Rhinolophus ferrumequinum: one gene and its partner. The protein of the gene in region 1 purifies or fractionates together with the protein of each later gene. This does not show direct contact. Links are inferred from orthologs where the notes say so. Each region holds a gene or a part of one and is shown in the gene's direction. Other genes may lie near its edges. The genes, in order: EMC1 and TMED2.

Region 1 (11,882 bases):
ATGAAAAAAGACAATCAGTACATGCCAATCCTGAGACGACAGAGGTTACAACCATCTAACACAGATTGTAAAGCCGCCATTATAAAATGCATCAATAAATAACTACAAAGAGCGGAGTGTCAGGAACCTGCGGGACTAGCACAAATGACCGAACAATGTTGAGTCCTGGAAGGAGAGGAGAAACAGGGCAGGCTGGAAAAGTGCTCATAGAAATCATGGGCGAAAACTCCCCAAATTTGACAACATATACACCTACAGATTCAATGAGTGAAATGAGCTCCAGACAGGATAAACACCCCAAAAGTCACCAAGACACACTTCTAGTCAAACGTGTGAAAATTGAAGACAAAAAAAATCGCAAGAGAATGAGAGAGAAACGGTTTAGGGGAAAGAATTCAAATGACAGATTTCTCATCAGAAAAAACATGAAGGTTACGAGGAATTGGCACATTTTTTCCAAGTGCTGAAAAGAAAAGAACCATCAGTCCAGATGTGGTATTAGGTGACACAAAATAATTGTTCTTTAGGGTGATAATGGCATTGGAAGTATGTGAGAAATTGTCTCGTTATCATTACGCAAGCACACTGAAGTATGCAGGGACCACTAGTGTCTCCAATACAATGTGGAATATAAGTGGTGAGAGCCAACCTCACTGCTGGTTCCCCGTCGGAGGAGGAAAGCCTTTTCATTACCAAATATTAGCTGTATGTTTTTTTGTATATGCCTTTTGTCAGTTTGAGGAAATTCCCTTCTGTTTGCTGAGAGTTCTTTGTTTCTTCTTCACAAATGATTATTAAATCTTGTTAAATGGTTTTCTCACAGCTATTGGGATGACCATATAGGTTTTATTTTCTGGCCTGTTAGTATAGTCGATTCTATTGACTGATTTTCAAATATAAAGCCACCCAGTATTCCGGGTACGCAACCCACTGAGTCATGATGTATGATCCTTTTTATATACGACTGTATTTGATTTGCTAAAGGATTTTTGTGTCTCGGTTCACTGGTGTGGTTTTTGCTGAGTCCTATCGTATATTTAATATCATAAAAACTCAGTGATCTTTTTTTAGAAGGTTAAAAATGAGACTAAGTCTTGTATTTATCCATGTTTACCATTTCCAGCCTGCTTCCTTTTTTGTGTGTGCACTGAGGGCCAGGGCACAGAAGCCCTGGTGGCTGCTCCTTCCCTTCCCTAGAGCTGCATGGCCATGGACACGCAGGAACCAGTGCTGGAAGCTGGCTCCTCAGGTGAACAAAGGGCACCGTAGGGATCCAATCAAAAGCCCAAATCCAAAGCCCTTTTTTCTGAAAAAGTCCCTTTGCCATCACAGGGAAACACCCTGCAGACAAAGTTTTATTCTTTACAGAAGAGTCTATGCCTTTCGCCCCCCACCTGTCTTCATCCACAGCAAAATACACAGCTGGTCCCCCAAGAGGGGCGGAGGCAGTCCCGTGTGTTCCAGTCAAGACAAGGCCTGGAATGGGCTGGGAGGCCCAGTCCGAAGTGCCCGTCAGTCATCGTCTTGTTCCTCCGATTCTTCTTCTGACTGGGGGGCGCTTTCTGGCAAGTCATCTCCCATCTGCTGGAACCTTCCAGACTGTGCATCCCACATGTATTTGATGGTCACCTTGAATTCAGCCATCTCATATCCAAAAAGCTTCTGCAAGAGAGGCCAAGGAACCAAGAGTAAGGAGGAGCGAGTATGATCAGGAGTCTCTGCGGTAACCCCCTCCACACACACCCCAACAGCCTGCAGATGGCTGGGCGGGCCGGACTCACCAGGACGCGGGCCTGCTCTGGCGTCAGCACGTCGCCCTCCTTGCACACCTCGTAGTCGGACAGCAGGGTCACCACACCTGCAGAGAGGGGGGCCACCACACAGTTACCTCTGGCACAACTTTCTGTCTGCTGCCCAGAGCTGGGAGGGATCTGTTTGGCCACCTGTCCGCCCCACCAGTCCAATACACGCTGGGGCAGGCATTCAGCAACAGCAGTCAGCTGCCTGCGACGGTGTTCGGGGTACAGTGACCACCTCCCTCTGTCCCTGAAGTGCTGTATTCTGGCTGTAAGGTACTGTCCACATTCACCGCAGTGATCAGGCGGGCACTCTCAGCCCCCCTTTCTCATGAGAAAATGGAGGCCGGCAGACGTAACCTGCTCAGCCAGAAAGGGGAGAGGGGCCCTGCCGGGCTTGGGAGCCTGTGCTCTTGGCCGCTAAGCTGTGACCTTGCAGCTCCAGGGACTTCCCCGTACCTCTCTTGAGGGCAGTGGGCAGGCCCAGCTGCCTCAGCTGGGGCTCCATGGAGTGGGGGAACTGCTCCAGAGGCCCTGGGTCCAGGCTCACGGTGAAAGTTGCTTTGTTTCCAGCGCGGGCGTAGTCCATTTCTGTGTATTTCGTGAACCACCTTAGGGGAAAGAGAAGTGGTAGGAGGGGAGATTCCTGACTGGGCCACACACAGCCCCCTGAAGCGAGGCTCCCCTTGGGCCTTCCCTCCCTTTCCAGCAATCTCAGCTGCTAGCTGCAGCCAGCCTGGAGCGCAGTACTGGAGAGAACTCAGTACCAGGGTTCTAGGAACAGCTTCTTCCTTGATGCCTCCACTGTACAAAGTCCCCAGCGTCCTCACCAACCTCTAGACACCCCTCAGAAACACTCACTCGTTCACTTCCTCCTTAGTGCGATTGGTGAAAAGGAGACCGACCTCACCCCTCAACTTCTTGCTGACCTAAAGAACAAACACGGGGTTGGTCTGGTCACATCAGAGCAGTGACTTTCAAATGGGGACAGTTTTGCCCCCTTACCCCCCAGCATTTGGCAACATCTAGAGACACTTGGTTGTCACAGCTGGGTGTGTGCCCACCTGCACACTACTCTCTGGGTCAGGAGGTTAAAGGGGAACCGGAGCTTTAAGCCAGGCGGGCTCTCCTGATCCCCAGGCGGGCCAGATGGCTGGAGTGTGTGTCATGTGAGAGCAGCAGGCGGGCAGGCGGCTTGGCCTTGCCCCTCCAGGAGAGGGCCAGACTCACCTGATGCAGGTTGTCTTTGTACTCGTCAGATGGGCTTCGACCCAGGGCCACCATCATCACTTTGTTTTTGCCAAAGAACATCCTACAGAGAAGAGGGGTCCGTGAAAGAAGTGCCCCGTCCAGCCTTGCCTCCCATTAAGTGGAGCCGAGTCAGGCCCAGGCTGTTTTGTGGCTGGAGGCATGGCAGAGGCTCCCTCTTCTTCCACAAAGCTCTGCCCCCTCTGTCTCCAGCCCAAGGTCCCTTTCACTGTTTTCCTGCCCAGAGACCCTGACATTCACAATGTCTTGTCTAACACCACGATTGTTATGTGCTAATCTGCCTGCCCCCCCTGAATGTACGGAAGAGGCCCGTTTCATGGTCTGAACCTGAGCTGGCTCAGCAAGAGACGACCAGAGCCACTCGTATTGTCATAGTTCCAACTGAGGACAGGTACTCGCCACACGGCTTGGGCAACCTGCTCTCGGGTCAGCGCTGCATCATGGAGCACATAATGACATCCTAAAACAGCACATAATGACATTCTAGAACTGATGCGATGTTCCTAAACGGACCCCAGGGGAAAGGGAGCCCCTTCTCTTGGAGGGGTCACTGCTCAAACATTCCCTGAGCACCTACCAAGTCCTGCTCCACAGGGAGGGAGCACAGTGCGAAGAGCAGCTAGCTGTAACAGGTAAAAAGTACCTTCGGCTTGGGAGTGGCACTTTGTCCGTATTAACCTGCCATCTGTGACCCAGGTACCCCAGGGGCAATGGCTGCCACGTGCCCGACTGAGAACAGCCTCGCCCTTCCCTGCCTGCTCACCGGCTGTGCTTCCAGGCGTTCCGGATGTCCTTCAACTTGGTATTCCTCATGTTGGCCACGGAGAAGATGAAGAGGTACTTGTACGTGTCCACACATTTTCGAAGCTGTGGAACAAGTCGCGGGGCTCTGGAGTTCAAGGGGCACCAGGATTGGGCAATACTCTGGCCTCCGATGGGAAAGGATAGCTCCGGGTAACTTATAACTGTGGAAGGTTAGAGCTGGAGGCCTCTAAGATAGGGTCCCCACGTACAGGGGCTCCCCTGGGGCAAAGCAGGGGTGATCCCAAAGTGCAGGGGAAGCTGAGCCACGGGTTAGGATCCCATGGTTTCTGACTGACCTGTGGCCTGTTCTCTGCACTGTCTGTTAGTTATTGATAACCCAGAAACTCTTAGCTACACTAGGAAGGCACCTTCTAAATGAAACAACCGAATCCTCATTATTTACTCACATGGGCACACAGTTCAGTGGTCCTACTCTGCCCACACTGCTGGCCACAGCCATGATGAGGTGGCCTCAAGGAAACAATCGTTATGCAGGAGGAGACTCCCTTTTATCCAGCCTGCAGCCCCGAAGCAGTGCAAACAGTGGGTTGGCGCATTTACCCACGTCTGCTAACTCCCAGACTTCTTACATTGGGCAGGCTAACAAATCCTTGTAAGCTTCAGTTACCCAACTGCAAAACAGGGCTAATGTCACCTCCTGTGTGAGGATGGAGTGCAATGATACGTATGGCACGCAGCACAGTGCAGGGCACAGAGGAAGGGCTCCGCCCAAGCTGGGAAGCATCACTGTGGGAGTCGTACTGGTGCTGCCACTGGAGGACAAAGGGCCGCTCAGCAGGTTTTTTTTTTTAAACAGGATGTTTCCCTAACATACAGTCCTACGCACACCTTTATAAACCAAACACAAATTCTGGAAACAGCCCTTACCTCTCCTATCAGGTTCTGTTTCAGTTCCAAGCCTTTCTTGGCAGTTTTGGTTAAGGAAACTAATACAAAGAAGAAAAAGGAGAGATGATGAGAGACAAATCTGGATGTCCTGGAGACTCATTTTCTTCTTGCCGTTTGGTAGTTCGGCTGGACCAAGCCCGTCTGAGGAGAGGCAGCCAGACTATCCCCAGGGTCCGCAGAGCGCCGACTTTCTGATGTTTCTGAGCCTGCAGATCCTTTGATATATTTCCTGTTACTCAGACAAGCAGGGTGTTCCTCTGAACCTTCTTGGTTTAGCTTAAACATCTGCACTGAGGTGTGGAGGTGGGGCTTGTACCTGCTAGAGGGAATGCTTTCAGTGGTAGAGCTAGTCTGCTGGCTGAGGCACGTCTCTTTCCGCTCTTGGCCGTGGTGCACAGAGACCATCTATGGATGGCTTCTGCTGTGGAATGATGAGCCTGGGGACTGTCTCTTTTCTGCTACATCCTGTTTTGCAGATTGGACTCAAGGATGCAGCAATGCCACTTTGGAGAGGGACAAGCACCTCTACTATAACAAAAGCTAGGGCCTAATTTGCCTCTTATCCGGAAGGGTTTGGATTTGCCAGATCTCATCAGGGCTCCCTCTATAGAACCCACGAACACTTAACAGCATCAAATGCAAAACCCAGGGTGCCTCCAGGAAACGGCCACCTCTTAGTCATCCGGCCTGGCGTTTAGTCCCTCCTCAAAAGGCACATATACAGAAAGGTAATCACACCAGTCAGAGGCAAGTGCAGGACAGGAGGGCAAACAAGAGTTGTCCATTTCCTATCACTTCCGCTGCTACATCTGTGAGCCAAGCCTCTGTGAGCCAAGCATCACCCCTGTGTTGGATTACTGCTCTTGATGATTCCATCCTTGCTTCCACTTTACCCAGTCCATTCTCAATATGGCAACTAGGGTGACATTTTAAAAGTAAAGTCAAACCACATCATCGTACTGCTCAAGCTCTCAGATGCCTACCCATTTCACTGGGATGTGAAAGCCAATTCCTTGCAAAGGTCCTAAAAGTCCTGCCCACCCTGCAACCCCCCAACTCTGCTTCTGCCACACTAGCCTCTTGTCCCAGAACATATCAAACATGCCCCCACTTCAGCCCCTTTGCACTTTGTGTTCCCTCTCCTTGGAACACCATTCTCCAGATAACTCCATAGGTTGCTCACTTCCTTTCCTCAGGTGTCTGCTCATTTGCCACTTCATCAAAGACCTATGGTCATGTACATCACCTCACTTTTACTCTATGGGATTCATCACTATTTGACTTTAGTCATTCAATTTTTGGTGTTTCGGTGGGATATACTTCCCATGACTAAAGTGTTAAGCTCGATGAAGACTCTAAGCCTTCCTTGTTGTAACTGCTGTATCCTTCTACTCCTAGAGAGTGCCAGGCACCTAAATATTTGTGGAGTGACTATACTAAACAGCCGGGGTGAGAGAGACGCCACCATAGTAAAGAATACTCTCTTAGGAGGTGCTCTATAAACTGACAACTCAGTCAGCAAAATGAAAATGGGAGCATAAGCATGCCAGGTAGGCAGGGAATGCAAGTAAAAAGAGCCAGGCACGGGAATAAGCTTGTGCTAGAGAAAGGGAAAGGCGACCAGGGTGGCGAGAGCGCAGAGTGCTAAGGGAAATGGGCTAAGGTGAGAAAGATGGGCCAAGGCGAGATCGGGCGCAGTCTGGGTGCTCGGAAGCTGTTTCCCGGCCCAGTAGGCCTTGGAAGAGCAGTCGAAGCTGGGAAAAACAGTCTCGGCTCCCTTAACACGACCAGGCTCCAGCTCCCTCTGCCCAGCGTGCTCCCGCCGCTAGCTACCAGAGCAAGCCCGCGGAGCTCCCCACGGAGGTCCCGGCGTCCCATTCTGTGCCCCACACCCCCATCGCAGCCGGTGGGGTCCTAACCGGGTCCCAACGGGCCCTTCACCCACCTTTCTTGTCGCGCTTGGATTTGGGCATCTCGCTGCAACCACGTGCGGCGGAAGGCGGTGTCGTCGGTTAGGACCCCGGCGGCGCGGGGGCCTCTGGGATGGCCCTCGAGAGCTGCCCTCGTGCGTGCCTGACCCAATTTGCGGTGCGGCCCGCTTCTCCCCGCCTGGCTTCCACCTGCGCTCTTCCTCACGTTTTCAGGTGGACTCTCAGCACGTTCGGAAGCCTCCAACTCCTGGGCGCCCCACCGAGGGTTTGTATGTGGCCCGAACTCTGTGGTTCCGCGGAGGCGGAGCCTGCGGCGCGGTGCATGCCGGGTCGTCAGCGGGCGGGCCCGGGCTCCTGTCATGGCGGCGACGGCGGCTTCCCGAGTCTGGCTTTGGGCTGCATTGCTTATTCCTGCGGCAGCGGTGTACGAAGACCAAGTCGGCAAGTTTGATTGGTGAGTACGTGCGGCACCTCTTCGGGAAATACGTGGCTATTTTCCCAGTACCTGTCTTCTGCCTGCTAAAGGGCGGGCGGTTACCATGCAGCAGGACCGTCTAGGCTACAAAACTTACAGGGCTCAGTGCAAAAACAAAATGTGGGACCCTTGTTCAAAAGCTGAAAGTTTTTAGATGGGGACAGCAGAGCATTAAACCAAACGTCGGTGGCCCTTCTAAGACGCAGCGTGCGACTGTACAGGTCATAAGCCCCTGAAGCTGGCCTTGACATTCAGGCCGGCTTGGGGTTCTGGTCAGAGATCTCTGTTCCCTCCTCCCCCGTCAGGCCCCATTTTAGTGACTGTCAGGTTTCTGATCTGCATGTGAGAGGTCGACAGCCCTCGGCGAACTCTCATTCCTCCTCGAATTGGCATCTCTTCTCTTGGGCATGTGTACGAGTCTCGGGTGCTATTATGAGTGCTAAACTAAGTCCTGTTTCTCCTCCCTTCCAGCCCCGGCTCTGGGTTCAGAACAGGGGCTCACAAGTCTCACATCACCCAGGGGGTGCCATTCATGGAGGTGCCATTCACTTAGTCACTCACTTCCTCACCTGCCATCCCACACCTTCCTTAAGGCCTTGCTTTTGTTTGAATCTGAATTTTGCTACTAAAGAGTTGTGTAATTTTGGGAAAGTGACTTAACCACTCTGCCATGGTTTCTTTTTCTGTAAAATGATTTGCTAATACTGGTCCATTATCTCTTACAGTTGTTGTAAGGATGAGTGAGATAATTCCCTTAAATTAACACCATGCCTGGCTCATTGAGTGCAATCAGTCCAGTACTCATTATGATTACTACTCAGGGAATATTTTAACATTCAGAGCCCAGCTGAGATATCTCCTCCTCTTTGAAGCCTATTTTGTATCAGGCAAATTACCGTGTTTCCCCCAAAATAAGACCTAGCTGGACAATCCCCTCCAATGTGTCTTTTGGAGCAAAAATTAATATAAGACCCGGTATTATATTACATTATACCTGGTATTATGTTATATATTATATTATGTAAGATCCGGTATTACATTGTATTATGTTATGTTATATTACATATTATATAAGACCGGATCTTATGTTAACTTTTGCTCCAAAAGACGCATTAGAGCTGATTGTCCGCCTAGATCTTATTTTCAGGGAAACACGGTAATTCACTTATTTGTTGAGTGTCTGTCGTGGGTCATTGGTTGTTCTAGGTGCTGGGGGTACAAGGAGCTCATGGGGCAGATATACAGTACGTCCTCACTTAATGTCATCAGTAGGTTCTGCGACTTTAAACAAAAAGACAGACATCCAAACCAATTTTACCGTAGGCTAATTGATATAAACAAGAGTTAAGTCCCTAGGGAAAATCATTATAATGAAATAATGTTATTCAAGGACCTGCTGTTTAAGTGTGTGATATAAGATGGTACGACAAATGCAACATAAGTCATATTTTTAATGATGTAGGGAAAGGCCTACAATATAATATGTATGTATTGCACATATACAGCATATTTGGTATGATTCCAATTAACAGAATACTAGATATATGAAATTTACAAATTGAAAAATACAAAGAAATACACCAAAACATTAAAAAGTTTATGGTGGTGGTATTTTAGGCATTTTTGATTTTTTTAATACTTTTACGCATAAGCAGGCATTAGTTTTATAGTCCAGAGGAAAGTTAGTTATCTTAAAAGAGCATGGGATTTAGAGTCAAAAGGTCTTACTTTCACATTCTAGTTCTGACAGTAATTCGTTGACTTCAGTGGACTATTTACAGGTTAATTACCTGTAAAATGAGAGTAATAATATTTGTCCAGCATATGTCATAGAGTGTTCAGTGGATGCAGTAAGAATAAAGTATGTGGAAATACAGGTAGAAACTGTCAAATGTCATATAAGCCTATCTTTCTACTACCAGCTCAATTTCTTCTTTAAAAAAAAAATTAGACCAAACAACATCATGACAAATGAAGTTCCGTGTAAATATCGTGCGTTTAATTTGCTAGAGAATGCAGTACTTCATTAACAGCAATGTGGGAGCACCTCCTATGTACTCGGTAGTTGGCCATACGAAGCTAATTATCTTCTTTTTATGCTTAGAGTGTTGAAAGTGATAAGATATACTCCAAAGAAAGCATGAGCAATAGGTCACATGGATCCTGAACATGGAAAAGGCTGTAGAGAACAAAGGCCTGACCCAATCTATGGATTTTTATTAGAAAATTTGCATAATTTTTTCTCCAGAGGTCCGTGAAAATAGAAGGGAAAGTTGGATTGTATGCTTATGGACAACAGGATTTATGTCTCTTCCCTCATGTGGACTATGAGCACCTAGCCCCCCTATTAATGCAGAGAGGACTGTAACGTTGTAGTGGGATTTAGACCAGGTGCTCTTCTGGGTATCACTTTTCTTGAGATAAATATGTGCTTGCATTTCGAAGGAAGACTGTTGCATTTCTCATCTGTTAGGTTATTCTCTCTTCTTGTTCCCTTTGCTTCTGACTACATTGCATAGATCTTTTGCTTTTGGTCAGATCTCATTAGCAAACATTTCTCCTACTACCCAAGGTAGGTATGATGACGATAACCTCATATATTTGTGCAGTGTCTTTTTTCAAAGCATTTTGTGCAGTGATGCTTTTGGCCCCTTACGTTTCCCTGTTCTCTTTTCTTTAGGAGACAGCAGTATGTTGGGAAGCTCAAGTTTGCTTCCTTGGAATTTTCCCCTGGATCCAAGAAGTTGGTTGTGGCCACAGAGAAGAATGTGATTGCAGCATTAAATTCTCGGACTGGGGAGATCTGTGAGTGAATTGTGTAGACTAGTTACCTCGGCATGGAATGGCTGACCATAGTGAAGCCAGAATGGCTTGTGTGGCTTGTCAAGTCTGCCCGGCTGGTTCCCCAGTTAGGGAAGTCAGCCAAAAGATGCGATCTCTTACTGGGTTCTGACCTTTTTTTTAGTCTCGTCATTTAATCCTGTAACTGGCCTTTGTAGTTTAGTCCCTCAGCCCAAGTTCTGCGTGTTCTTAAATAAGATACTGCTGCAAAACACATGTGATTCTATTTTGCACAAAAGGTTTGGATGCCTCCTCTCCTCCCCCATTACTTCACTACTTTTATAGATATTTTTTAGGCACTAAAATCATGGATAGGTAATTTATAATCACTGTTTTTCCTGTGAATCACAGTGGATTTGTTAATTTCGTCACTGTTCGTTTATGTGTTTGATGGGGATTAGAAGTGCAGAGACCCCAGACTGGGACAGTAGCAGCTCCTCTCAACCCTTCCTCCCCTCATTACCCAGCGAGTGGGAGTGGATCATTACGTTATTTGGAACCCTTCCTTCCCTTGAAATACAACTGGACACTGCTGTGCGAACAAAGCCTTCTTCAGTTCTCTCCTGCCCATCTTCTTGGATGCCTCCTCTTCAGTTCATAGTAACGTCTGCCTCTTGTCTCTCAGTGTGGCGCCATGTCGACAAGGGCACGGCAGAAGGGGCTGTGGATGCCATGTTACTGTACGGACAGGGTAAGCAGTCCTGCTTTGTCCCTATCATGTGTCGGCTCCCTCTCCCCGTTCCTTGGTTCCTTCCTTCTGCAGGGTCTGGTAGGGAATGGAGAAGGAAAGAACAGGAGTGCAAATAGCTCATACTTGCACTCATACAGCAGAGGTGAGGCCACTGCTCACAGGCCCTAGGAGGCTGCAGAGCACCAGTTGGGGAGTTGACGTCACCATGGTCTTGTCTCTTCCAGATGCAATCACTGTGTCCAACGGAGGCCGGATCATGCGTTCCTGGGAGACTAATATCGGGGGCCTGAACTGGGAGATTACCTTGGACAGTGGCAGGTAGAGGGGAAGACGCTGTGTTTTATCTTGATGACCTTGGACAGTGGCAGGTAGAGGGGAAGATGCTGTGTTTTATCTTGGCTTGGTTCAAGGCTTTGCTGGAACATAGACCTTCATGGGCAGCAACTTTGGGCCTTTTGGCTTTTTTCCCAGGGACCACCACAGAGCCAAAGAGCCTCAAACACCCAGTTTTTGATGTTCTTGAGGTAATGGAACACACGTGTTTACTGAGCCAGCATTTATTGAGCATTTATTAGATGCAGACCTCTCAGCTAGACGCAGTGTTTGTACTTGACTATTTTTCCTAATCTTACCGTGACTGGAGAGCTTTGCAATGTTCTAGATGTAAGAACATAATATAAAACTTTCAGTGTTTTTTTAAAAAAATGTTTTTTTTCAGTGACAGTTCACATTCAGTATTACTTTGTATTAGCTTCAGATGTACAGTATCGTGGTTAGACAGTTATATAATTTATGCAGTGATTCCCCCCATTTAGTTTAGTACCCCCTGGCACTATATATAGATAGTTGTTGCAACATTATTGACTACATTCTCTATGCTGCACTTTACATCCCGTGAAACTGTCAGTGTTTTAATTTTACGTTTAGAGAACAGCTTGAGCTACTGTTACATCTGTTGGAGTTATTTGATAGTGTCCTTTGCATTAGCTTATAGACCTGCTGTGCAGTCAGGAAACACTTGGGGAGTCCCCAGGCAGTGGGAACACATTTAAATAGGAGACAGTTTTTGTCAAGGAACTCGTCGTCAGTCGAGGGAGGCAGGCGTGTAGTCTAGTAATGACAGTACTGTCTGAAGGGTTGCCATGGTAGAGCATTGGCCTGGTTGC
Region 2 (12,108 bases), on another chromosome or scaffold:
GCGTTTAGTATATTCACAGATACACACAACCATGACCTCTGTCTAGTCCTAGAAAATCCATTTCGTTCCAAACAGAAACCCCATTAGCAGACGCTCCCCGTTTCCTCCTGACTCCCCACCACAGCCCGAGGTAAGCACTACTCTACTGCTCTCTGTCTCTATGGATTCTCCTGTTTTGGACATTTCATACAAATGGAAACGTACAATATACGGCCTTTTGGTGACTGGCTCCCTTCGCTGACCAGCATGTCTTCCAGGTTCGTCCATATTGTAGCAGCATGTGTCGGTTCCGCTTTCCTTTTTATGGCTGAGTAATATCCCATTGTATGGACGGACCACATTTTGTTGATCCATTCATCCATCCATGTGGGACTTTTGGATTGTTTCTACTTTCCCTGTTGCTTTGCCTGTGATAAAAGCAGTACTTTCCTTCTGGAAGCTCAGATCACTTCGCAGGAACCTTTACCTCCTCAAAGAACTCCTTGTTTTGGGGAGATGAACCAGGCTCCAGAATAGAGTGAGATGGGAAAGCGAAAAGGAAGCTCACAGCCATTGAGTACCTTCTGTGTGCCAGGCAGGGTTCCGAGAGTGCAAAGATAAATTAGATCACAAGTCCCTGACCTCAAGGAGTGTGTAGTCCAGTGAGTAGAGAGATACATCTGTTGTTTTGCCTGCTAGGATCTATCCCATTTTTCTGATTTTCCTCAGATGAACCACCCCTCCCCTGCTTCCTTGTTCCAGGGTAGGAAACCCAGGCTTGACCAATCAGCACCACCCAACCTGTGGGCCTGGTGGTTGGCTCAGGAATGAGCACTGACCTCAGACAGTTCAATGAGAGTCCAGAACACTTTTCCTGGCCTCTTGAAAAAGGTAAGTTATCATTTTGGTTGGTAGTTTTTTCCATGAGTTGCTGAGAACATTGCCTGGAAGCCTTGTTAGTTTTGAAAGAGCCAGGCTGAATAAGAAGGCAAGCAGGGTCAAGGTGGGTCTGAGATCAGACCATATCCTGGGATGTCATTTGAGCAACTGGATCAAACTGTGCCTTATTTTTTTGCTACCTCAAAGCTTTGTAGCTGCATGAACCAATGAGCTTTAAGAATTAAAAAAAAAAAAGATTGTGGTGATGGTTGAATATAACGGAAACCATTGAATTGTACACTTTAAACGGTGAATTGTATGGTATATAAATGATATCTGAATATTAAAAAATGAAATAACAAGATAAAAACTATGATAGAACCACACACAGGGTTTTGTTTAAACCCAGAATAAGAGCAGCTGACTCAGTCTGCAGAGGTGGGGTAGGCAAGCAGCCACCCTGAGGAGATATTACCCATTTTACAGGTGAGGAAGGAAAGTCCCTGTCAGAAAGGAATTGAGTATGATCCCATACATGAGTGATGGGGCTAACAAAGTGATTAGTACTTTGTAGCCCATAACCTAGTCGTTGAAAACATAGGTTCTCCTTATGCACTGTCAAAATGTCTAATCCATGCCCCAATGAATTGACCTAAATTATTTTAAAGCATATATATCATTGAGCCTGCTTATCATGACCATCTCCAAACAAACATGGGGGAAGTCTCTGTAGTTCTAACGCCTTGCTTTGCATTTTCACAGTTTGTCAGAACTCTTCAATTCAAACTGGCTTAAGCAAAAAATTTACATGAACAAGAAATCCAGGAGGTGGACTTCAGGCACAGCTGGATTCAGGGGCTCAGCGATGTCATCTGACTTCTGTTGTTCCTTAACCCTCAGCTCCAGATTTGTACAATGTTAACATCATCTTCATGCAGGTTCTCTACACGGTGTGGCAAAGGTGGCCTCCAGGACCTCTAGGGTTACATCCTACTGGTTTAATAACCTCAGAAAAGTCAATGAATTTTCATGGCATATTATTGGCTCAGTTTGGGACACATGCCCATCCCTGGACCAATCATTGTGCTTAGGGAGATAGAAGTTGCTGATTGGTCAGGCTTAGAGCCAGTGGGTGGGGGCAGTTCACCTGAATGGCATGGGATAAGACAGGAGGGAGGGGAATCCTCAATGGACAAGCAGAGTGCTCTTGTAGAACAGAGAACACATGTTGAACAGAGGAAAAAAAATCCATATTTAGTTTGGGACCAGGAAGCTGGTAGTGCTTGTCCACACTGTAGAAATGTGGCCATCTAAAACCTTTCTCTTTTTAATACTTCAATTTCAACTTCATGATCTAGAATATCCTTTTCTTTGCACATCATTACCCAAATCCTTCTTTAAATATTATTCCTGCCTCTACACTAATATTCTCACCAGTGGATCCTACCATCAAGAATGACCCCCTTCCGTTCTCCTGTAGCTTTTTCTACTTGGATTGCCCTCTTCAGCCTGTAATTAATGACTTCCAGGTATTATTGTTTGCTGTGTACACGCAGAACCCATCACAGGGGCCTGGGGTCATGTGACCCAGTCTCACTCTCAGTAACAGCCTCACATTTACATTGTTCACATTTCATAGATGCTAATTTTGCATTTGATTTACAATTCAGGACAAGAGTTTGTATCAGTAAGAAAATAGAACTCACTCTAGGTGTTTCTAACAGAAACGTTTCCATGTAGGAAATTGGTTTTTAGTTACCTATTGCTGGGTAAAAAGTAACCTGAAAACTTAGTGGCTTACAACAACAATAATCATCATCTTTCATAGTTTCTGCAGGTCTGGAATTGAGGGGCAGCTTGGCTGAGCAGTTCCGATACAAGGTCTCTCATTAGCTTGAGGTCAAGAGCTGGGGCCATCTGAAGGCTTCACTGGGGCTGGAGGCGCCACTTCCAAGATGCCTGTCACCCGGCCGTGGGTGGGAGGCCTCAGTCTCTCTCCACGTGGGCCTTTTCCAGAGCTGCTTGCGTGTCCTCACGACATGACAGCCGGCCTCTCCCAGAGGAATCGATTCAAGAAGACAAGGTAGAAGCAACAATGCCTTTTATTACCCAGCTTCAGAGGTCACACACGGTCACATATGCCACCTTGTTGGAGACAGAAGTGAGTCACTAGGTCTTCCCCCCAGTGCAGGGGAGAGAAACTGGGCTCCACCTTTGGAAGCGAGGAGGGTCAAAACATTTGTGGATATATTCTGAAGCCATCACAACAGGTGATGATAGAGCTGAGGAGACAAACCAGGGATGAGGAGACAACCCACAAATGAACAACAGCAGACAGACTCCAACTCACTTAGGACTGGAGGAGCTAAGAGAGGAAGTGGGGTTACCAGAGCCTAGAAGCCAGACCACCCAGTGGAAGCTGGAACTTCAGAGGAGCTGGAGTCCTGAAGATTCAGCAAGATTCAGCCCGTAGCAGACGTGCTTCCCAAAGCAGAGAGGGAGACACAGGCCCTCGCTTCTCCCTTCCTCTACTTTCCAATCTCCTGTCAGTACCTGCAATTAGCTGAACCTACCAGGAAGCAGAGTACAAGGGGGCCAGTGATGCAGAGGAGAGCAGAGAGGGCTGGGATCCAATGCACAGAGGGCTAGAATGGCTGATTGGGTAAGGTGGTGATATTGTGGTTACATCTGTCTTGAATTCTGATTATTTTTATGTATTAATGTTGTTCTCAATAAAGTGACACTTTAAATCTGAAAATGAAAAAAAAAGAATGATGAAAGAAAATCCCCCAGGGTCCTTTAATTTTCCCGAATTTTAAAGAAGACTTTTGTGGGACCAGAAGGGAAGGGGAGCGTTAAAACCCAGATGGCAGAAAGCTGATCTAGCCTTTGTGTAGAAACAGCCTTTTGTTTTTGTCTTCAAAACTTGCCAGCATTTGAGAATGTACTGGTGTAACTGATACAAACACCTCATCAATTTCTAATCTGGTTGCCTAGTCCCTGCCACAACAAGCTGCTGATTCCAAGCAGAAATAAATTATTTTGTCCACTCTTGGTATATACCCAACAGCACTGAAAACACGTCCATACAAAAATATGTGCATGTATGTTTATAACAGCATTCTCCATAATAGCCAAAAAGTGGAAACAAACCAAGTGTCCATCAAAGGGTGAATGGATAAACAAAATGTGGCCTATCCATACACACAATGGAATATTATTCAGCCATCAAAAGGAATGAGATACTGATACATGCTACAATGTGGATGAACCCTGAAAACATGCTCAGTGAGAGAAGCTGGTCACATAAGGTCACATATTGTAGAATCCCAGTCAAAATCCACTGAGCCGGGAAGTAGATTAATGGTTACTAGGGGCAGGGGGGGTGGGGAATGAACGCTAATGTGTCTGCAGTGTGTCTTTTTGGGGATGATGAAATGCTTTGGAATTATTGTTGATGGCTGAACAATTTTGTGAATGTGCTAAAAACCAGTGAATAGTTTAAAAGGGTGAATTTTACGGTATGTGAATTATATCTCAATAAAGAAGGGAGGGAAGGAAGGAGGGTGGGTGCATTTGAGAGCTTCGTTCATCATTCATCAAATATATTTTTTATCATAAATTTTATTTTAACATAAGAGAAATTTCATACAAATTAAAAACGTCTGCTCATCCAAAAACCTACTCTGCCATCTTGACCACAACTCCCATCATATATTTTTTGAGTATCCACTATGTGCCAACTATTTGTTGTGTCAGAATATTCATGCACAGCATGGCACAGTAGCTCATGCCAATCTGTGCTGAGGACAGTAGACATGCACGCTTACTATGGGTGACCTGGCAAGTCTCAAGAGCATGTGGTTCTTTGAATTAATTTGTCTTCATCCTGAAATATGTTGAAAAGACACCTGATGAGTAATTATGACAACGATGTTAAAAAGAAAAACCTGTACAAAGAAGGAACTATACCGAGTGGTGATACTGATTATTTTATAGTACTGTGATTAGAGTTATTCTGTCTCTTTTCCAATTATTAGACAGTACAATTACTTTTATAGCATAAAAAATAAATTTACAGATGACTTCTGGCTGCATCTCTGGCTTGGCCACCACAGCGTTTCCAAAAATTGGAGTCAAACGTATTTAGGTACAGGGGCCCGCCCGGTGGATCAGGCGGTTGGAGCTTCGTGCTCCTAACTCCGATGGCTGCCAGTTCGATTCCCACATGGGCCTGTGGGCTTTCAACCACAGGTTGCCGGTTCGACTCCTCGACTCCCGCAGGGGATGGTGGGCTGTGCCCCCTACAACTGGGGTAGAGGGAACAACTTGACTTGGAAAATGTCCTGGAAGTGCACACTGTTCCCCAATAAAGTCCTGTTCCCCTTCCCCAATAAAATCTTTAAAAAACCCCACGTATTTAGGTACAGCATCTGATACAGTTTTCCACAGTCCTCCCCACTCCCTATTGCCTTAAGCTGGTGCCATCTCTCATTCACATAAACTTCCCGATTGCTGAAGGCATTTGAATTTGGGTCCCCTGATTTATAAAATACAACCCTCACAATATACAATTCATTGTCAGCATTTAAAATCCCCGATCTGTGGAGTTAGAATATTATTTAATTAGTTCAAAAATAAAAAAAGAACACTTAATTTCTAGATAAAACCAGAATTGTTCTTGGCAATTTTCTACAGAGTTGGGTTGCTTGGTAAGTCCAACAGTCCCGTCCATCAGTTTAATAGGATACCTCTGTAGGTATTTTAAGCAGAAAGAGATTTAATGTAGGGAAACAGGCATATAAATAGGTTGGCGAGGCTGGTAGAGTGGTAGAGCAGGCTCTAGGCTGACCCTCCCTCCAATGATGGCTCCCAGATTATTCTACAGGCGAAGCAGGGCCATTGCCACAGCCGGGAAGGTGGAGAATCAGGGGATCATTGCTAGAACTTGTTCAATAACCAGGAAGCTTCCCTCACTGTAGCTGCACCTGTTTCTTGACACCTGAAGTAGGAAACGGATATTGGGCCACTACTGCCCCCTATTGCCTGATGATGTCCTTAAGAAACGTGCGCAGCACATTCACAAGCATGAGTCATCTGATCCTCATGACTTTGGCAGATAAGGAAAGCATATGGTGTTCACCCCCTTTGTACAGATAAGAGGTGATGTAACATAATTAAGGTCACACAGCTCCGTGCAAAACTAGAGTAACGACTAGGTGTCCTCATCCCCTGGCCAGTTCACTGAACTAGCTAAGATGTCATGAGGGAGGTCTTCTGTGGCCCTGGAAGGGCCTGAGAGCACAGCATGCATATACCCGGTGCCTCCGGAGGGATGCAGACTGGTAAACGACTATACCTCAGCAGGCACAGGTCTGCGCCCTAAGCACACAGCGGGGGGCTGGTATTTGGCAGAAGGAATGTTCAGGCACATTTCGGAGGAGACGACGACATTTGAATTGACTTTTGAGGAATGAGTAGGAGAATGTTAGGAGACAAAGGGCAGGGGGAAAATTGTCCTAGCAGCTGGCAAGAGCTAAGGGGAAATGGTGTGGCAGCAAGATTTGGGGGAACTGAGAGAATTCTAATTTTGGAAGGATTTGGACAAGGATTTTTTTAACAGTAAAATAAAGTGCATTAGTCTTAAATATACATCTTCTTGATTACAAAAATATGTAAACCCTCGTGTACCCTTCATTTAGGTGGAGGTATAAAATACTTCAACATCTCAGTTGGTTCCCTCGTGTCCCCTCCCACTCTGGACGTACGCGCCTCCCTCCTTCCCCCGTCGATTTTTGAGGGGTGAGGAGAGGCCAACACAGCCCCCATCTCCCCGTCCGTCCACTCGTGTTGTTGCCTCCGAATCTCTCGCCATGTTTTTGAACAATCTAAGAGGGTACTGCAGTCGGGCAGGGGAGGTTTCTCGATGCTGTCGCTTTCTCGTGAACTTTAGGATGCGCGCGAAAGGGGATGGAGGTGGGGACGACGTTTTCTGGTCCTTCGGAGCCACCGTCCAGGCCCTGGCCGCGCGGAGCCGCCTTGTCCCTCGGCGGCCGCCGTGCGCCCGTTACGTGGCAGCTGCCAGCGCCCGCCAATCCAGGGCGCACGCATCAGCCCCCTCGGGTGGCGCAGCCGGAACGGGCGGAGCTGAGTTGGCGGCGGCTGAGGCGGCAGCGGTGGTGGCGACGGCGACGGCGGCTCTGGAGGCCGCAGTCCCGATCCTGGCTTCGGCTCCAGCCCCACCATGGTGACGCTTGCTGAGCTGCTGGTGCTCCTGGCCGCCCTCCTGGCCACGGCATCGGGCTACTTCGTCAGCATCGACGCGCACGCCGAGGAGTGCTTCTTCGAGCGGGTCACCTCGGGCACCAAGATGGGCCTCATCTTCGAGGTGGCGGAGGGAGGCTTCCTGGACATCGACGTGGAGGTGCGGGCGCGCTGCCCGCGGCCGAGGCGGGGTCGCGCGTTCGCTCGGGGGTTGGCGGCGCCCGGGGCCCGCGAGGGGCCTGAGGAGGGCGCGGGACGTGGAGGCTGCTGTCCGAGCCCCGGAAGGGACCCAGGCTGTCGCCTGGCCCCCGCCGCGGCGACCCCCTCACGGCCGTTTCGCCCGCGGCCCGCCGGGTTCCAGGCCCCGGGCTCCCCCCGGGATACGGAGCGGTTGCTGAGTTGCTTGGGGTTGTCAGCTTGGGGTTCCCCTTGGGACCTCTCGCCGAGCTTTCTCGACCAAGCGCCGCGTGTCAGCTCCGGGCGGGGAAGGCGCATCTCGGGGCGGCTGGCTGGTGGCAGGACTCGATCGGGTCCGCAGCTGCATTCGTTCACGTAACGGATTAATGTTGGAACGTGGCAGGAAAAGTTTCGAGAAAGTACACCGAAAGTTACCGAGGAATGCTAGGCAGACGTTCGCGTGGTGTTTTTCTTTACTTTTCATAGAAACGACCAGAGTGTTTTAGTTTTTTACGCAAACCTCCGGATATATCGTTGAACCATCTCTGACGAAGAGAGGTGGAGTTGGGTCGTGCATTTTAGGAGTAATGACTGCAGTGGAGAAAACGGGGAATTATTTTAAGAAACCAGTAGTCCCTACATTTCATCCCATATCTTTTTTTAAACCAAAGGAATGAGTCACCTCTAACTTTTTTTTGGAAACCAGATATGATTAATATTTAAATTCATCTGTTAGCATGATTAATTGGGTTTAAGGACTTTTCTAGTTGATAGTGCACGTTAGCAGAGTTGGGCACGAATTACACAATCCATGTGAAGTTCAGAAGTAAGTGGGTAATGGAAGGAGTGACTGTTCAGATTAGCTAAGACCTTAGAGATCAACGATTCCAGTGTCCAGGGCTTTATAAGAGGAACTGACTTGAACAGAACCCAACAGCCGATCTGGAGCAGATTGCAATGAGAACACAGTCTCCTAATTTCCAGTCTAGTTCTTTTCCTTAAGCTTTCAGGCTTCTCAGATGAAGCGGATTCCTTCACTGGTTGGCCGTAATCAGGAAAACCTAGAAATGCCCCTTGCTCAAAATTCTTAGTTTTAAAGAGATTTTTTTATTTTGATGTTAGTGGATACATTGTTTGCATGTTTGTTGGAGGTGTTAGGACACTTGGAGACAATGTGTAAGGTGTGGTTTCTGTTTCTGGGGAATTTACATTTGAGTTGAACAAATGAGAGGAACTCTGTAGTCAGAGTTAAAAGGTGTTTGGAGAGCCTGGTCTCCTACGTGGGAGCCCAGAGAGGTTACTGTTACCAACTGCTGTGGAGCTCCCTGAAAATTACATTTTCTTAGCAAATATCCTACTGCCTGCCAATAGACATCACTTACGAAACCTATGATTTGAAATCTTCCGTGATAATCTCATGCATTTCCCTCCTGCCTCCAGATTACAGGGCCTGATAATAAAGGAATTTATAAAGGAGACCGGGAGTCCAGTGGGAAATACACATTTGCTGCTCACATGGATGGAACATACAAGTTTTGTTTTAGCAATAGGATGTCCACCATGACTCCAAAGATAGTGATGTTCACCATTGATATCGGTGAGGCGCCAAAAGGACAAGACATGGAAACAGAAGGTGAGATGAACATTCGGAAGATTTGTATCACGTCCCAGGAGTTAATTCTGTACATTTTCACCATCTGAATTGAGTATCTATGTGTGATTTCTTATTCTAGGTTCATTCACACTGTCTTTGAAATCAAAACCCTCTTGTGAAACATACTTTTGATTTATCCAAATCACCTAATTAACAAAAAGAAGTTTCTGGAAGTTCATGTTTATATTTTAGTTCTTTGCAGTTGCCCCTCCTGGCAACTTTGTGCTAGCATGTGGATTACATGTGTCTTAGGTGGTTTCCTCTGCTACTTTGCAAATCCTGGTATACACATCTTTATTTGCTCATTTGTATACATGACTAGTGTAGCTAAACTTTTTGTTGTTTTATTTTTGTGTGTGTTTGTATCTTAAACTTTTCTTTAGGTGGTGGAGATACCTGGGATGGTATGTGGATTGATTTTTGATGGCATCCTGTCTTTTTGCATATTTTTGTTTGCTGTTATCTAATTTCTGCTTTCCTTCTAACCTCAGTTTGTTAGCATGAGAGTGTTTTTTGTCTTAAACAAAAACAACCCTACAACTAATTAGAGTTTTAGAGTGATTGTTTTTGGTGGTTTTTATTTATTTGACAGGAGGTACAGGTCAGGTCATTTTAAATGAATAGAACTAGGAACACAGCCATTGATTTTTTAGTAGTACCATTGTCATATATATATATATATATATATATTTTCAATGAATGCTGAAGCGTGGAAAGAGTCAACCATAACTGGACAAGTAAAAGTCTTGATTAAACATAGCTAATAGCAAATGGTGCTGTTGACTTTGTAGGAAGTATGTTGTAGGCTTGTTTTAACCATATTAAAGTTTTCTAACTTGAAACTTGGTTGTATATGAAATGCATTTCTAGGAGCCATGTCTAGATATGGTGACAAAAGTTCTTTCAGCCATATGTTATAGTTAGATTACATTTTATTCCTCAGATGATCAGCGTTGAACTCTGAATTGACTCTTCTGGATAAACTGCTTACCAGGAGCCAGCACGTTTGGATTTTTTGGGGGCGGGGCTGGGGAATGAGGGTGTTGTCACAGGACATAGAGTATTAGGATTTTTGGAACGGAGCTGAACGGAGCTGCTCAGTATACTTCACGGCATTAACATGGTAATATTTGTCTTAGACATTGAGCAGTTAGTAGAGCGCTTACATCGTAAAGAAGATGAAGTGTTTGCTAGGTTTTGAAATCTATAGAATTTAGAGAATCATACTACTTAGTAATTCCTGTGCTGCTTTTCATGGTCATTTACAGTGTAGGAGTTGGCTAATTCTCAAGGAGAATTGGGAGTTTTGAAGGGCTTTGTGTTTGTTCATTTTCAGGAGATTAGTCCTTTCTAAGTAGTTAGAAAATGTTGGCTGATGAATGTGAATATTGAACTATTCTTAAATAATCCTTTAACACGATACCTGAAATTCTTGCTTTTGCTTGTTAATGTCATTGGATGGCAGCTGTCAAATCAAGCCTTCTTCTAAAGCAGTGGTTCGCTTCAGGATGATTTGGGGCATTTGGCAGTATCAGGAGACATTTTGATTCTCATGGCTTGGTGGGTGATCCTACAAAGCGTTGGATAGCTCCCCACAACAAAAGAATTATCTGGTCCAAAATGTTAACAGTGTGCCCCTGGAAACCCTGATTTAAAGGTTCCACGTAGTAGTACATGGTCCTTCCAAAGTGAAGCTCGTGAGGAAGGGTTGAGATTCCAGCCCAAATACCTTAAAATGGTAGGGGCCCTTGGCCTCTCACAAGAAATTGAGGATTATCTGTGGCAATTTGGACTTCTAGACGAGGCCCAATCCTGGACAGTGATAAAGCAACTCCTCCAATGGGAATCTTTCCTTGTGGTATATTTTTTCCTCCCTGTTTCTTCATTGTCACAATAAAGCACTACCCAGAAGCATACACTTACTTTTCAGAACTGTTCACCTTGTGTTCATTTTTGGCCAAGGAGAATACCGGTTTTAAACCTTGTGCAGCTGAGAGCTTGTCTTCACCTTAAGAGTAGGTTTTGATTTTAGTTTAAATATTGTTGTTTGTAGATTATTGTTAGGGTGTTATTGGGGATTTTGTTTGTTTGATACTTTGTGCTTTCTTTTTTCCACTCATTTTTTTTTCCTCTCTGATTAGCAGTCAGTATAGTAAACTTCACTTAGTAACAGTTCATTAGAAGAAATTTCTCAGGGATAACTATTTTCCTTCAGTTAGTAAAAATTGTACAGTATGTTTTCTATCCTGAAAGATGTTTCTCTGCTGTGAATGGACTTTAAAAACGTGCTTTGAGAATTAAATTGTCATCAGTTGTTCAAAATGATTTCTGTGCCATTTCTAAACATAGCTGCTTTTGTATGCCTTTTTTGAGCAATATTTTTATTACTTGATAAGTATTTTTCAAGAAGAGATTACCAAATATGTGCCACTGTGTTTTCAAACCCTTCTGTAGCTCACCAGAACAAGCTGGAAGAAATGATTAATGAGCTAGCAGTGGCGATGACAGCTGTAAAACACGAACAGGAATACATGGAAGTTCGCGAGAGAATACACAGAGCGAGTAAGTTAACGAGCCGGCTGGCCCTGTGGCCTTGTGTGTGGTGCCCCCCAGCTCACTTCCCCTCTCCTCGTTGGGAAGTTGCGCAGACATAAGCATACTAAATCATTGGCTTAAAAAAGCACCTGTGCAAAAATATTTTTAAGTATACATGTTTGTAGAGCTCTGTACTACACTAGTTTATTATTGGGACTCGTGTTCTAAACCAATAAGTGCTATGAAGATTCAGCACAAGGTTTTGAGAGTTTTTCAAAAGTATAGTCAGCTAAAGAATAAGCTAATTTCTTAAAGCGGAAAGGAAAAACATTGTAAAATGGGTATTGCATTGGTTTTTAACACATATTTAAAACTTTTGTGCCAGTATGATTACTAATATATGCTGAGATGTTGCTTATTTCCCCTAAAACTGAAGATTTAAAAAAAACTTTTTTTTTTTAGATTGGGCAATATTGGGGGACGGTGTGTTTCTCCAGAGCCCATCAGCTCTAAGTCATTGTCCTTTAATCTAGTTGTGGAGGGCGCAGCTCAGCTCCAAGTCCAGTCGCCGTTTTCAATCTTAGTTGCAGGAAGCACAGCCCACAAACCTATGTGGGAAT

What was found.
Region 2: the proteins of EMC1 (region 1) and TMED2 purify together in Homo sapiens (affinity purification with mass spectrometry; 3 studies listed by BioGRID and IntAct, with this or other methods). This does not show direct contact. The link is inferred for Rhinolophus ferrumequinum from reciprocal best matches to the Homo sapiens genes EMC1 and TMED2.

The regions. Positions count from the first base shown.
Region 1 is NC_046292.1:12,939,515-12,951,396, reverse strand, and holds the start of EMC1 (ER membrane protein complex subunit 1), read left to right. Parts: upstream 1-6,964; 5' UTR 6,965-7,068; coding exon 7,069-7,163; intron 7,164-9,864; coding exon 9,865-9,989; intron 9,990-10,650; coding exon 10,651-10,716; intron 10,717-10,940; coding exon 10,941-11,034; intron 11,035-11,882. Other genes in the region: MRTO4 (mRNA turnover protein 4 homolog), read right to left, coding at 1,513-1,662, 1,782-1,858, 2,256-2,407, 2,658-2,725, 3,027-3,108, 3,829-3,932, 4,758-4,816, 6,724-6,751. UniProt on the Homo sapiens protein: Part of the endoplasmic reticulum membrane protein complex (EMC) that enables the energy-independent insertion into endoplasmic reticulum membranes of newly synthesized membrane proteins.
Region 2 is NC_046308.1:4,329,688-4,341,795, reverse strand, and holds the start of TMED2 (transmembrane emp24 domain-containing protein 2), read left to right. Parts: upstream 1-6,968; 5' UTR 6,969-7,102; coding exon 7,103-7,282; intron 7,283-8,739; coding exon 8,740-8,932; intron 8,933-9,336; coding exon 9,337-9,357; intron 9,358-11,407; coding exon 11,408-11,515; intron 11,516-12,108. UniProt on the Homo sapiens protein: Involved in vesicular protein trafficking. Mainly functions in the early secretory pathway but also in post-Golgi membranes.